Coturnix japonica: one gene and its partners. The protein of the gene in region 2 binds, or shares a complex with, the protein of the main gene of each other region. Links are inferred from orthologs where the notes say so. Each region holds a gene or a part of one and is shown on either strand. Other genes may lie near its edges.

Evidence for each region.
Region 1: the proteins of CRHR1 (region 2) and UCN are in contact, whole or in part, in a cryo-EM structure (PDB 6PB0), measured with the Homo sapiens proteins. The link is inferred for Coturnix japonica from reciprocal best matches to the Homo sapiens genes CRHR1 and UCN. Residues at the interface, in NP_004373.2 of Homo sapiens: Leu106, Asn107, Glu109, Lys113, His117, Val120, Asn123, Trp169, Val172, Gln173, Ser177, Pro178, His181, Gln182, Thr192, Tyr195, Asn196, His199, Phe203, Phe260, Gly261, Lys262, Pro264, Tyr270, Tyr272, Gln273, Met276, Ile277, Tyr327, Phe330; in NP_003344.1 of Homo sapiens: Asn84, Pro85, Ser86, Leu87, Ser88, Ile89, Asp90, Leu91, Thr92, Phe93, His94, Leu95, Leu96, Arg97, Leu99, Leu100, Glu101, Leu102, Ala103, Arg104, Thr105, Gln106, Gln108, Arg109.
Region 3: the proteins of CRHR1 (region 2) and CRH are in contact, whole or in part, in a cryo-EM structure (PDB 6P9X), measured with the Homo sapiens proteins. The link is inferred for Coturnix japonica from reciprocal best matches to the Homo sapiens genes CRHR1 and CRH. Residues at the interface, in NP_004373.2 of Homo sapiens: Lys113, Tyr116, His117, Ala119, Val120, Asn123, Trp169, Val172, Gln173, Met176, Ser177, Pro178, His181, Thr192, Tyr195, Asn196, His199, Phe203, Phe260, Gly261, Lys262, Tyr267, Tyr272, Gln273, Met276, Ile277, Leu280, Tyr327, Phe330, Phe331; in NP_000747.1 of Homo sapiens: Glu156, Pro157, Pro158, Ile159, Ser160, Leu161, Asp162, Leu163, Thr164, Phe165, His166, Leu167, Leu168, Arg169, Glu170, Leu172, Met174, Arg176.

Annotation. Positions count from the first base shown.
Region 1 is NC_029518.1:95,414,488-95,417,563, forward strand, and holds UCN (urocortin), read left to right. Parts: upstream 1-1,466; 5' UTR 1,467-1,806; intron 1,807-1,935; 5' UTR 1,936-1,951; coding exon 1,952-2,254; 3' UTR 2,255-2,443; downstream 2,444-3,076. Other genes in the region: protein Mpv17, read left to right, coding at 534-566, 794-1,174; TRIM54 (tripartite motif-containing protein 54), read right to left, coding at 3,048-3,058. UniProt on the Homo sapiens protein: Acts in vitro to stimulate the secretion of adrenocorticotropic hormone (ACTH). Binds with high affinity to CRF receptor types 1, 2-alpha, and 2-beta. Plays a role in the establishment of normal hearing thresholds.
Region 2 is NC_029542.1:1,750,483-1,754,127, reverse strand, and holds part of CRHR1 (corticotropin-releasing factor receptor 1), read right to left. Parts: intron 2,763-3,645; coding exon 2,656-2,762; intron 2,275-2,655; coding exon 2,154-2,274; intron 1,876-2,153; coding exon 1,722-1,875; intron 1,421-1,721; coding exon 1,360-1,420; intron 500-1,359; coding exon 427-499; intron 1-426.
Region 3 is NC_029517.1:104,167,092-104,170,735, forward strand, and holds CRH (corticoliberin), read right to left. Parts: upstream 2,212-3,644; 5' UTR 1,801-2,211; intron 1,594-1,800; 5' UTR 1,580-1,593; coding exon 1,073-1,579; 3' UTR 635-1,072; downstream 1-634. UniProt on the Homo sapiens protein: Hormone regulating the release of corticotropin from pituitary gland. Induces NLRP6 in intestinal epithelial cells, hence may influence gut microbiota profile.

The DNA of each region.
Region 1 (3,076 bases), on a different chromosome or scaffold from region 2:
TGCCCCAGGTGGGCTGGGTGCCCCAGGCTCCGTTCTGGGGACATCTTCACCCCCACTTGGGGCACATCCGCCTCTCCCCACGTAGAGGGAGCGTCACAGCGCATCCATCACCCCAGCGCTTGCTCTCCCCGTTCTGGGCCGCCGGCCAGTGCCGGGATGAGGCCGGATCCTGGCTGAGTCACAGCCAGGCTGGGCAAGGGGATGGGTTGCGTGCTACGTTCCCCTCTTGTCCCTGACATTTGTGACCCCAGGGGGCTGCACCAGGGCTGGTGACAGGAGCTGTGCCCCAGACCTGCTGCAGGGCTCCTGGCTGCCTTCTGCCCTCACGCTGCTGCCCTTTATGGGCACATTCCCATGCAGGGGAAGGGGGACCTGCCCTGTGCCCAGCTTGGGGAGACTGCAGTCCCTGCCTGCTGCGTGCGGGGTCACAGCTGTCCCTGCACTGTTCCTCTGCCCCCAACTGGGCCAGGCTGTGTGTGGGGTGGGGTGGTTGCAGGGCTGCTCCCTGCGCTCACGGCCTCTACCTTCCCCAGGACTACATGGACGCGCTGCTCACCAACTACTGTGTAAGTGCTGAGGATGGAATCCTGGGTTGGATTCCCTGATCCCGTGGCACAGAGCTGCCTGCGGCCCCTCATATCGCTCCTCCCCTCTGCCCAGATTTGGCCGCCGGTGCAGATCGCCAACTTCTACTTCATCCCTCTGGCCCACAGGTAGCAGCACAACCCCATGGCCCCACAGCTCCCGCTGCCCATGGCTGTGTCTGCTGAGCCATCCTTCGCTCTGTTCCCAGGCTGGCTGTCGTGCAGTGTGTTGCCATTGTCTGGAACTGCTACCTGTCCTGGAAAGCAAACCGGCTGTGAGGGGCAGCTGTGCTCCAGGTGCCCCCACCCACCAGCTCTGGAGCCTCAGTCGGGGACTGTGTGTGGGGCTGGAGTGCCGTGCTGTCCATCACGGGGATGCTATGGCAGCGATGACCCCGTGGGGCTGTGGGACCGCTCTGTCTGTTCTCTGTGCCCTGCCCAGCACAGGAGATGCTCCGTCCTTCCCCAGCCTCACTGCTGGCTCACACCCCACGTGTGACAGTGCCCTCCAGTACCTCCACTGGGACTCGGGTCGGGCCCTTCAGGAGCACCCAATAAAAGCTCCGCTCCGCTGCCCCTGTAACGCGTGAATTATCGCCCCCCCGTCACCCTGGGCCTTTTGGGGCCGGGGATTCAGCCCTCGGCCCGTCGTTTCCCATCGTCGCCGGGCGCGGTGCCGCGGTGCCGTATCCCCGAGCCGCATGGCACCGCGCTCGTCTCTATGAGTCACGCCTTTGGCCACCGCCGCTTCCTCGGGGCCGTCTGCAGCGCTTGGCCGCGGCGTGCTGGACCGGCGCGGTGCCATGGGGGGTGCACCGGGGGGGAGGAGGAGGACGGGGGGTGACGTCGCGTGGGTGCGGGGTTCCGGCACCCCAGCTCCGACGGGGAACGCGGCCCCGACGGCGCAGAGCCCCGCACCGCCCCTTCAGCACCACGGACAGCGGCACCGGGATCGGGGTGCGGTGTAAGAGCTGTGCGGGGTGCGGGACGAGAACGGGCACCGGAGAGATGCGGGTCCCGAGGGGCCGCTCCCGGTCCCGGTGCGCTCCGAATCCGCCGTCCCCCGTAGCCCCGCACCCCCCGCCCCCGCCCTGTGCGTCCCCGCCGCTGACGTCAGCCCCGCTCCGGGCCCCATATAAAGTCCCGAGCGCGGCTCCGGCTCAGCCCCGCGGGGACGGACGGAGCTCCGCGCAGCGCACGGCGCCCAGAGCTCGGAGCAGCGGTACGGGCGGTGCGGAGCGGTGCGGGACGGGGCAGTGCCGGGCGGTGCGGGACGGGACGGGACGGGGAGCGTTCGGCTTCGGGGAAGCCCCGTCGGGTGCGGACCCCGCGCTGACCCGCAGCCCCGCAGGTGCGGACGAGCCGAGATGCGGCGGGCGCTGCTCACCGTTCTGCTGCTGCTGTGCCGCCCGTTCCCCGCCGCCCCCCGTCCCGCCCGCCCCGACGGCCTCGACGGCCCCGGCTCGGGAGTCCCCGCGGCGGAAGTGCGGACCGAAGCGCTGTGGCCGCCGCTGCCCGCAGAGCCGTGGAGGGCGCGGAGGGACGAGCCGCCGCTCTCCATCGACCTCACGTTCCATCTCCTGCGGCACCTCCTGCTGCTCGCCCGCGCCCAGAGCCAGCGCGCCCGCGCCGACAACAACCGCCGCATCCTCGACGCCGTGGGACGCTGAGCCCCGCGCCGGGACCGCTCCGACGGGTGCGCGGCTGCCGGACCCCCCCCGGGACGGCTCCGCTCCGATTTTGTAATAAAACACTGCAGAAAAGCCGTAGTGCGGACCTGAGTGTGGGGAACCGTCTCCATCTCCGCTGCGTCCCCACCTTGCCATACTTGCAGCCCATGGTAAGACCCTCCCCGAGCACCCCCCGTTCCAGGCTGAGCATCCCCGGTTGTGCCCCCATCCCCACCCCGCAGCCGTCACTGCCCCCCGTCCCCTTCTGCTGCTGAAGGCCCAACGGCTTTGGGTACGGCACTCGGGCTGCACACTGAGCTGGGGGCTGTGGGGCACAGAGACACCCAGTCCCCATCCTCGTGCATCAGCAGTGACGTGGGGTGACTGACGTGGGGTGACTGACGTGGGGTGACTGACGTGGGGTGACTGACGTGGGGGGCTGACGCAGCGCGGTGCAGCAGTGGGGTGGGGGCACAGGCCGTGACCCACCGGTAATTGAGGCTCTGTGTGCTCAGCCCAGCGCTGTTTGCTCGGTGCACCCAAGGGACGGTGCTGCCAGACGGAGCTGCGGGGGTGGCAGACGTGGGTGCTCCCCCCAGACATGGGGCTGCAGGCAGAGCACAAAGCCCTGGTACAAGGGAACCCCGCAAGCACCTCATCCCCACACACCACACCTCACAGTGTCCACTCGCTCAGTTTAATGAGGGCTGGGGGCAGCCCCACCACGTGGGGCTTCATAGCAGTCGTAGGGCTGTAGGGTTTGCTGGTGTCAGTGCTGTGCCGTGAGTCCAGCTCAGTGCTGACCTGCACCGAACATTGGCC
Region 2 (3,645 bases):
GCTCTTATTTGCCCCTTCCTGAGAAAGTGAAGTCCCAGTAGATTGTTTGACCTCTGGATCAAGCATTGCTGCACAGCCAGTGGCCAGGAGCAAACTGCTGCAGAGCAAAGAGTGAGGCTGAGGCAACTCCTGATGTTTGGCAGAACACACACCTGCACCCAAACAATGCGTCAGCAGTGATGTGGAGACTGATCAGTGCTTGTAGGATTCTGCTAATGGAGGTATCCCTATCAGAACCCCTTTCCAGCCCACCTCAAGTTGTCAGGATCCACACGATGTTTCTCATCACAGCTGGGTGCTGTATGAGTGGAGGGAGCCTGACTTGCAAAGCATTGCTGCCATGGGACAGCACAGCTGGCAAGACCCAGGTCCACATACAGATGGGAAGGACCTGATATATAGCAAGCGAGGTCACTATGCCCTTACCAGAAGCACCAGGATCATGGGACCTTGATAGATGTAGTCAGTATAAACTCCTGCTCGCTTCCCAAACCAGCACCTGTAAGGCAAAGGCAGACAGTGTTGGGAACATGTGGTGTCAGGGACAGGAAGCGTCAGGGACAAGCCTGCAGCACAAGTGACAAGGTTGACTTTGACCCTTACACAATGTCCGTAGGTCACTGTCATAGCATGAAGGCAGTAAGACTTAGGCTGCTGTAGCTGGGAGTAGCTGCTATGGAACAGCTTCTCCCACACACCAGACTACATAGGGAGGTTTATACTGGTCCTATTTGAGAGTGGGAACTGGTTATTGTGGGGTAAGGAAGGACAGCCTTACACAGGGTTGGCTGTGTCCCCAGCAAACCCCATAGGAGCTAATGGTATCAATGTCCTGAGAGCATCTGGTTGAATTTTGGTTAATCATTCCTTCTCCTGTGTGCAGTAAGGATGCTCAAGTCACAAGGCAAAACTAGTGCTGCAAAACAAGGCGAGCTGCATTCACTGGAGCAGGCTCTTTTCAGTTCCACCATCCCCATGATGAACTCATCAGGTTCCTGTTAAGTCCTCCATTAACAAGTCTCTGTGAAAATGGCTCAGGTGGTGGTAGTTTATATCTCTACCGGTAGATTAAATCCCAGCTCCACTTAGCAAACACTTTGTAAGAGCTGTGGCTTAATCTAGCCTTTTCCCTTCTTAAAAATCTCATTTGCAGTTTGAAAGGAAAAATGCAGCAGCAGGAAGGGTGCGTGCTGCAGTGAGCCTAAAGGCAGGATAAAAGAAAGAATGGGAGAATATCATTTTTCCTTGCACCCTTTCCCTGTGATCTCCTGCAGGTACATCCATGCCTGCGATGTGCCAGCTCCTTGCATGACCAGGGAATTGCAATAGGGGAGGGGGAAGGAGAGCAGAGAGGCTCACTTCTCGTTGTCGTAGTACAGCTTCCCAATGGCCCAGGCGACAATGATAGGAAAGGGGATACCTGCAGATGAACACACAGACAGGTCTCAGGAGAGCAATACTGCAGCCAAATGATGATGGTCTTGCACAAGGCAAACTGATATGGGCATGCACTGCTCTCATGTTCCTGAAGGGAGCTGTTTCGAATCATAGAATCATTCAGGTTGGAAAAGACCTCCAAGATCATCTAGTCCTACTATCAGCCCATCCCCACCATGCCCACTAAAGCACATCCTTAAGTACCATTAGGTAAAACAAGAGCAGGAGCAGAGGATAGGGGTGAGTATCACTCATTGCACGTAGGGGAGGGCCCTGGTACTTACACCAGCCAATACAGATGAACATCCACTTGCGGAGCTTGTCAGTAGAATAGGTGAGGACGATGGCTGTGTGCAGGTAGCAGCCCTCACCAAACATCCAGAAGAAGTTGGTGACATGGAAGTAATTGTAGGCAGCAGTGACCAAGCGGCACCAGACCTGCCAAGAGTTTAGGAGATGCAGTGAAGAGCAGAACTACTTCAAAGAGACAATAAACAAATCACCACGGCTGCTTCTTGATGCCAAAGTAAGAACCAACATTAGCTCTGTGTTACAGTGAAGAAACTGAGCCATAGCATGACACAGACCCCAGCAGAGCAATTGTGCCCAGGTTTCCCATAAGCCTTGGTTGCTTTCCAGCCACCAAGTAGCACTATTTGACCTCTCAAGTCAGCTTTTGTGGCCTTGTCTCTAAGATCCTTGAGCTTCCCACCTACCACATTGCTCTCGTGCACCTCTGGGTTCATTGTGAGTTGCACCACAAACCATGTGGCATTGCGTAGGATGAAGGCTGTGATTAGGTTCCAGTGGATGATGTTCCTCAGGCACCGGATGCTCCTGCAGAATGGGGGGGACAAATCAGAGAGCACAACAGCTGCCTGTGGACAGAACCCAGGTGGGCTGCAGGGGAAGACAAGGCTCTTTGTAGGGCTGATTGTTTTCAAAGGAACCCAAAGCCCAGTGATGAGACACTGGGGCTGTGCCTTGCGTGATGTGGCCAGGTGATGGAGGGCACCAAGTAGGATTCTCTTCCTCTATAAGTCATTGCTTTAAAAAGTAGAGGGAAGAAAATAACCCTGAGGCAGGCATTCAGACTTGAGTGTGGCTAGAAATCAATGGCCATGGAAGGGACACAGCAGAATACCAGGTCTCCAGGTCTGCCCCCACCTGAAGGGACCTCTATAGGCTCATCCCCCCGTAGCAGGTCAAGTCTCTCACCGCAGGCGCATGAAGAGGACGAAGGCCACAAGGAGGGCCCCCAGTGAGACGCAGTGCCCCAGGTAGTTGATGATGACAGCGATGTGGTAATGCAACTTGCTCTTCTTCTGTGGAGAAGAAGACAGAGAGGGGTCAATAGGATCCCAAACCCTCCACCTCCCAGAGCTGCTCTGCAGAAACCCATTGGGGTCCACCTTGTGAAGAAGCTGCTGGAAACTGTAGATGGGGCTAATTTAGGCAGGAAATATACAAACCTGTGCAGGCAACGGGCTTGGGTACTTCACATCTTGCTCCTACATCAGCCCTGCTCAGTACTAGGACATCCCTGACACATCATCTAGGGGAAACCCTGCTGTAACTCAGCCAAGCTCACTGGCAGCATGATGCTTGATGTCTCTGTTCATTCCCTTTAGCCCTGGGGCAGATGAGAGGCTGGGATGAATTTGGGCAAAGAGAACAGGGGATCACAGGAAGGCATGAGTGATAATTAAATTAATTGATTGCTCCTGCTGTTAGGCAATCATCCAACCTGTGAATTAGCAATTAACTGAGTGAGAAAACTATTCCTGGCAAAAGATATCAGCATCCTAAATACCAGAGGTGGTTATCAGCCGTAAAAGAGCAGCCTGTATCTCTTCTCCTTTGTTCTGAGGGGTGGCTTGACCTACACAGGGGCTTGTAATTCTTGGTATCCATCCCTCTCAGCTTCCTAAATAGCTCCTTCATTTCATTGCCAGGAGGGAGATGTAGAGTTTGGGTTGTTCTGTTTTCATGGTAAGGAGCTGCAGAAGCAGAAGAGGGTAATAAATGTGGAGGATGTGCTGACCTGTACCATGCAGCCTAGGACCAAGAGAACTCACATTACAAATCCTTGGCCTTTTAACATGGAAGGAAACAGAAATCATTTTATTTTCACAAAGGAATGAAAATGTACATCAAGGATAGAGTCACATATGTTACCTACACCCTTATATAGACATGGATGCTGGT
Region 3 (3,644 bases), on a different chromosome or scaffold from region 2:
GAAACCGGCCCTTCTTCCTTCTCCCTTTGCATCTACTTTCCCGAAGGGAAAACCTGGATATAACCTGGATATGGGGGGAGGGGGGGGGACGGCAGGAGGGGTAGGGACAGACAAACCCCATCAGCACGGGGCAGATGTTGGGTTTACGGCAGAAGTTGAACCGTTGAGGTGATTCTTCTAACAAAATTCCTGTCTTAAAAGGAGCGCTCCTAACGCACTGAAGGTGACAGAATGCTCGAGGGAGACGGGGTTTCCTTCAGAGAGCTCGGTGCCAGAGCCGAGCCCTGAGCTGGGGCCGAGCGCGGAGCTGCTGAGGTCTGCGGGGACGGGGCTCAGCCCCGATCGGTGCTTATTGCCTCCAGAAAACGCTCCTGCGGGGGAACTTTCGGGGGAAGGGCTGAGGGTTGCGCAGAGCTTTGGGGCTGACAGAGAGCGGAGCGCTGCCCGCTCCCGTCCGTCCAGGAAGAGGATCTGCTGCGGGGTGCTGGTCCCGGTAGCGTCCCGGCCACCCGTGGGGGGCGGAGGGGGCCGGCAGCCCGCAGCGAGCGGCGGAGAGGAGCGCAGAGCTGCACCACCCCCGGTCGGGGCGGGCGGCCCACGGTGTCAGCAGGCAAGAAAGCGTGTCCAGCCATCGTTCCTTTGCAGCTTTTATTAAAAATATAAATATTAAACATTCTCTTACACAACAAAATCGACCGAGCGCTGAAAAGATGTTTTATTGTGAAAATGTCGTACAGGGGTAAAAGTGGACTCGAAGTAGCGGACAGAGGTTCCCCTCCCTCCTCCCACCCCGGCACGGCGCTCCCCGTGCTCCCCGCCGCCCCCGGCCGTCCCTGCGGAGCCCTCTCGCTATGGGAAATGGAGAAATAAATAAGGGTCGGGGTGGGGGGGCCGGCGGCACCGCGCGTCCGCGCATGCTGAGGGGGGGCGGCGGCTCGGAGCGCGCCCTTCGGGGTTCGAAGCTCTATAAAAATAAAGAGATGACATCAGAGCAGCACTATGGTACGTCGGGCGGTGTGATGGCTCTGGTGCTGACCGCGGGGTCCCTTTGGCACGGCGCGGGGGGGCCGCCTCATTTCCCGATGATTTCCATCAGTTTCCTGTTGCTGTGGGCTTGCTGCGCCAGCTGCTCGGCTCGGGCCATCTCCAGCACCTCCCGCAGCAGGTGGAAAGTCAGGTCCAGGGAGATGGGCGGCTCCTCGGAGCGCTTCTCCCTTTCCACCGCCTCCCCCGCTCCTTCGTCCCCTTCGGGGCTCCCCGACCGCTGCAGCTGCGCCGCGGCCGCCCGCAACAACTCGGCGGAGGCTTCGGGCCGGAGGTGGCCGCCGGAGGAGGCGGAGAAAAGGCCGGCGGGGCGCTTGGTGAGGTGGCCCAGGCGTAGGAAGTACTCCTCTCCCATGCGGAGCAGGACGGGCAGAGTTTGCTGCTGCTGCTGCTGCTGCTGCTGCTGCGGGAAGAAATCGGGCTGCTGCAGAGCCCCGCGGGCGGCTCCCGGGCTCTTGCTGAGCGCTCGGCACTCGTGGCAGGGCAGCAGGGCGAGCAGCAGGATCCCCGCGCACACCAGCGGCTGGAGCTTCATGGTCGGGGCCAGACCTGCAGCGGGGCGAACGGGTGGGGGACACGCGCGGGTCACATGCGGCCGCAGTCAGGCGGGGGGCACGCAGCGCGGCCGCTGTCCCGGTGCTGAAACGCGGCCCCGGCGCCCCCCGAGCCCCTCCGCTCCGCTCCACTCCGCCCCCGCCCGCCGCCGCCCGGACCGCCCGGCCCCCGCCGTCGGGGCGAGCGCGGCCCCGCTCCTACCTGGGGCGGCGGCGGCGGCAGGCGGCGGGGCTCGGCGGTGCCCGGCTGTGCCCGGCTGTGCCCGGCTGTGCCTGGCGGTGCCCGGCGTCCTTCCTCTGGCTCTGCCTCGGAGCCTCCTCCCGGCGAACTTGTGATCAGATTTGGTCCTAATCAGAGCCGGGGCGAGGGATTTTTATAGCTTAGACCCTCTCCTGGAATCACGCAGAACTTGCCTAATAAGCTGACGCTCTCCTGACAGCCCGATTGCGTGCCCCGATCCACTGCTGAATAAATCATGGGGGCCCGTCGGAGCGGCGATGGGCCGAGTTTCGCTATCGCAACCCCAAATCTCACGTCCAATTATATCAACAGATATTTATCGCCTCTGCGGTGACGTCAGCGGGGCCGGGGGCCGGGGAGCCGCGGGCCCCCCCTCCTCCCCATTGACAAAAACACTTGAATGAGATCTCCTAGCGGGCGCGTACGCGGAGAGGTCACTCCGGGAAACTTTCCACTCTCGGGACGGCTCCCTCCGCCCGATCCTCCGCTCTCTCCACCGCCGTCTCCGGGCCCCACCGACGGGGCGCAATGGCACGGGGCGGGGAAGGCGCGGGGCTCGGGATGCTCCGCGGGGCGATGGGCGCGGGCAGCCCCCGCCGTTCCCTGGACGGCTTCCCACTCCCAGCTCCGGGCGCTGCTCCTCTTCCCTCGGCTGTCCCCGGCCGCCGCTGCCCGCGATCCTCCCCAGCTCCGCACCCTCGGGGCGATGCGCTTCCCCGCCTGCTCCCCTCACGGAAGGCCCTACCTCCGGGGGGCTCTCCCATCAGCAGGTCCCTCTGAGGTCCCTTTGGGGCGCTCCCCCGTCAGCACGGTGCCTGCAAACGTCCCCCCCTTCCCCCTCCTCCAGCCGGGCTGCTCGGCATCTCCCCAGGAGGGAGCACCGTTCAGCGCGGTGACTTCTGCCCAACTCCCATCCCGTGCGCAATCTGCCTCCTTCAGGTTGCACGTCCCGACAGCTTTGCGTCTCAGTACTGTTTTCCCACCGCCTCACTCGCGACGTTCATCTCATCCCTCCCTTTAAACCGAGAAATTGCACTGAAATCCCCCCCGGCTTTGACCTGCCCCAATCGTGGGCGCTCGGGGTCACACACCTGTGTGCGTCCCACTGCAGCAAGGAGATGAACACAGCACGGAAGGTGTTTGCACATTATGGATGCCGAACCGGTGGCAAACCTCAAATCCATTTCCTTAATGAAATAACGAAGTTCAAAGCACTGAACGTATGAGGTTGGCCGCAGCCCAGCTCTGAGCATCCCCTGAGGGACGCTGCACACTCGGTCTGCTGTCACACCTACCTCCGGCCTCAGACGTTGCTGAAGTGCCAAAGAATCAGATCTTGCGCATCATAAGCAAACAAATGGAAAAACAGGTTGTAATGCTGGGGATTTGTCTCAGCATTACCTTCGTTAGCTCAGGCATTCGTGAACCGAAATGCGTCTTACAACAAAACAGAGCAGGATATCTCGAGGAGCTCATCGCAGCAGAAGCTATTTGTATGCTTTTAAAGCATGTCAGCGCCGCTTCCTGCGAGAACAACAAGAGGTTCAAAGAAGCAGGAGCTAAGTTCAGTCAGGTGATGGAAAATGCAACAGGCACTCATTAAAACTGAACCCTCTGGACGTGCTCAGGGGGGTTATCACACACAGTGTCTCCATTTTTAAGTTTAATATGCCCTTAAAGGACATAAAACCTCTTCAGATACTGAGGCCATAAACTTGAAGGAGACATACTGATCCAAATACATGCTTCTTAGTACTGTGGGTGCGATCTGATTAAGATACAGAGCTGTGTCTCTCCTAAAGATT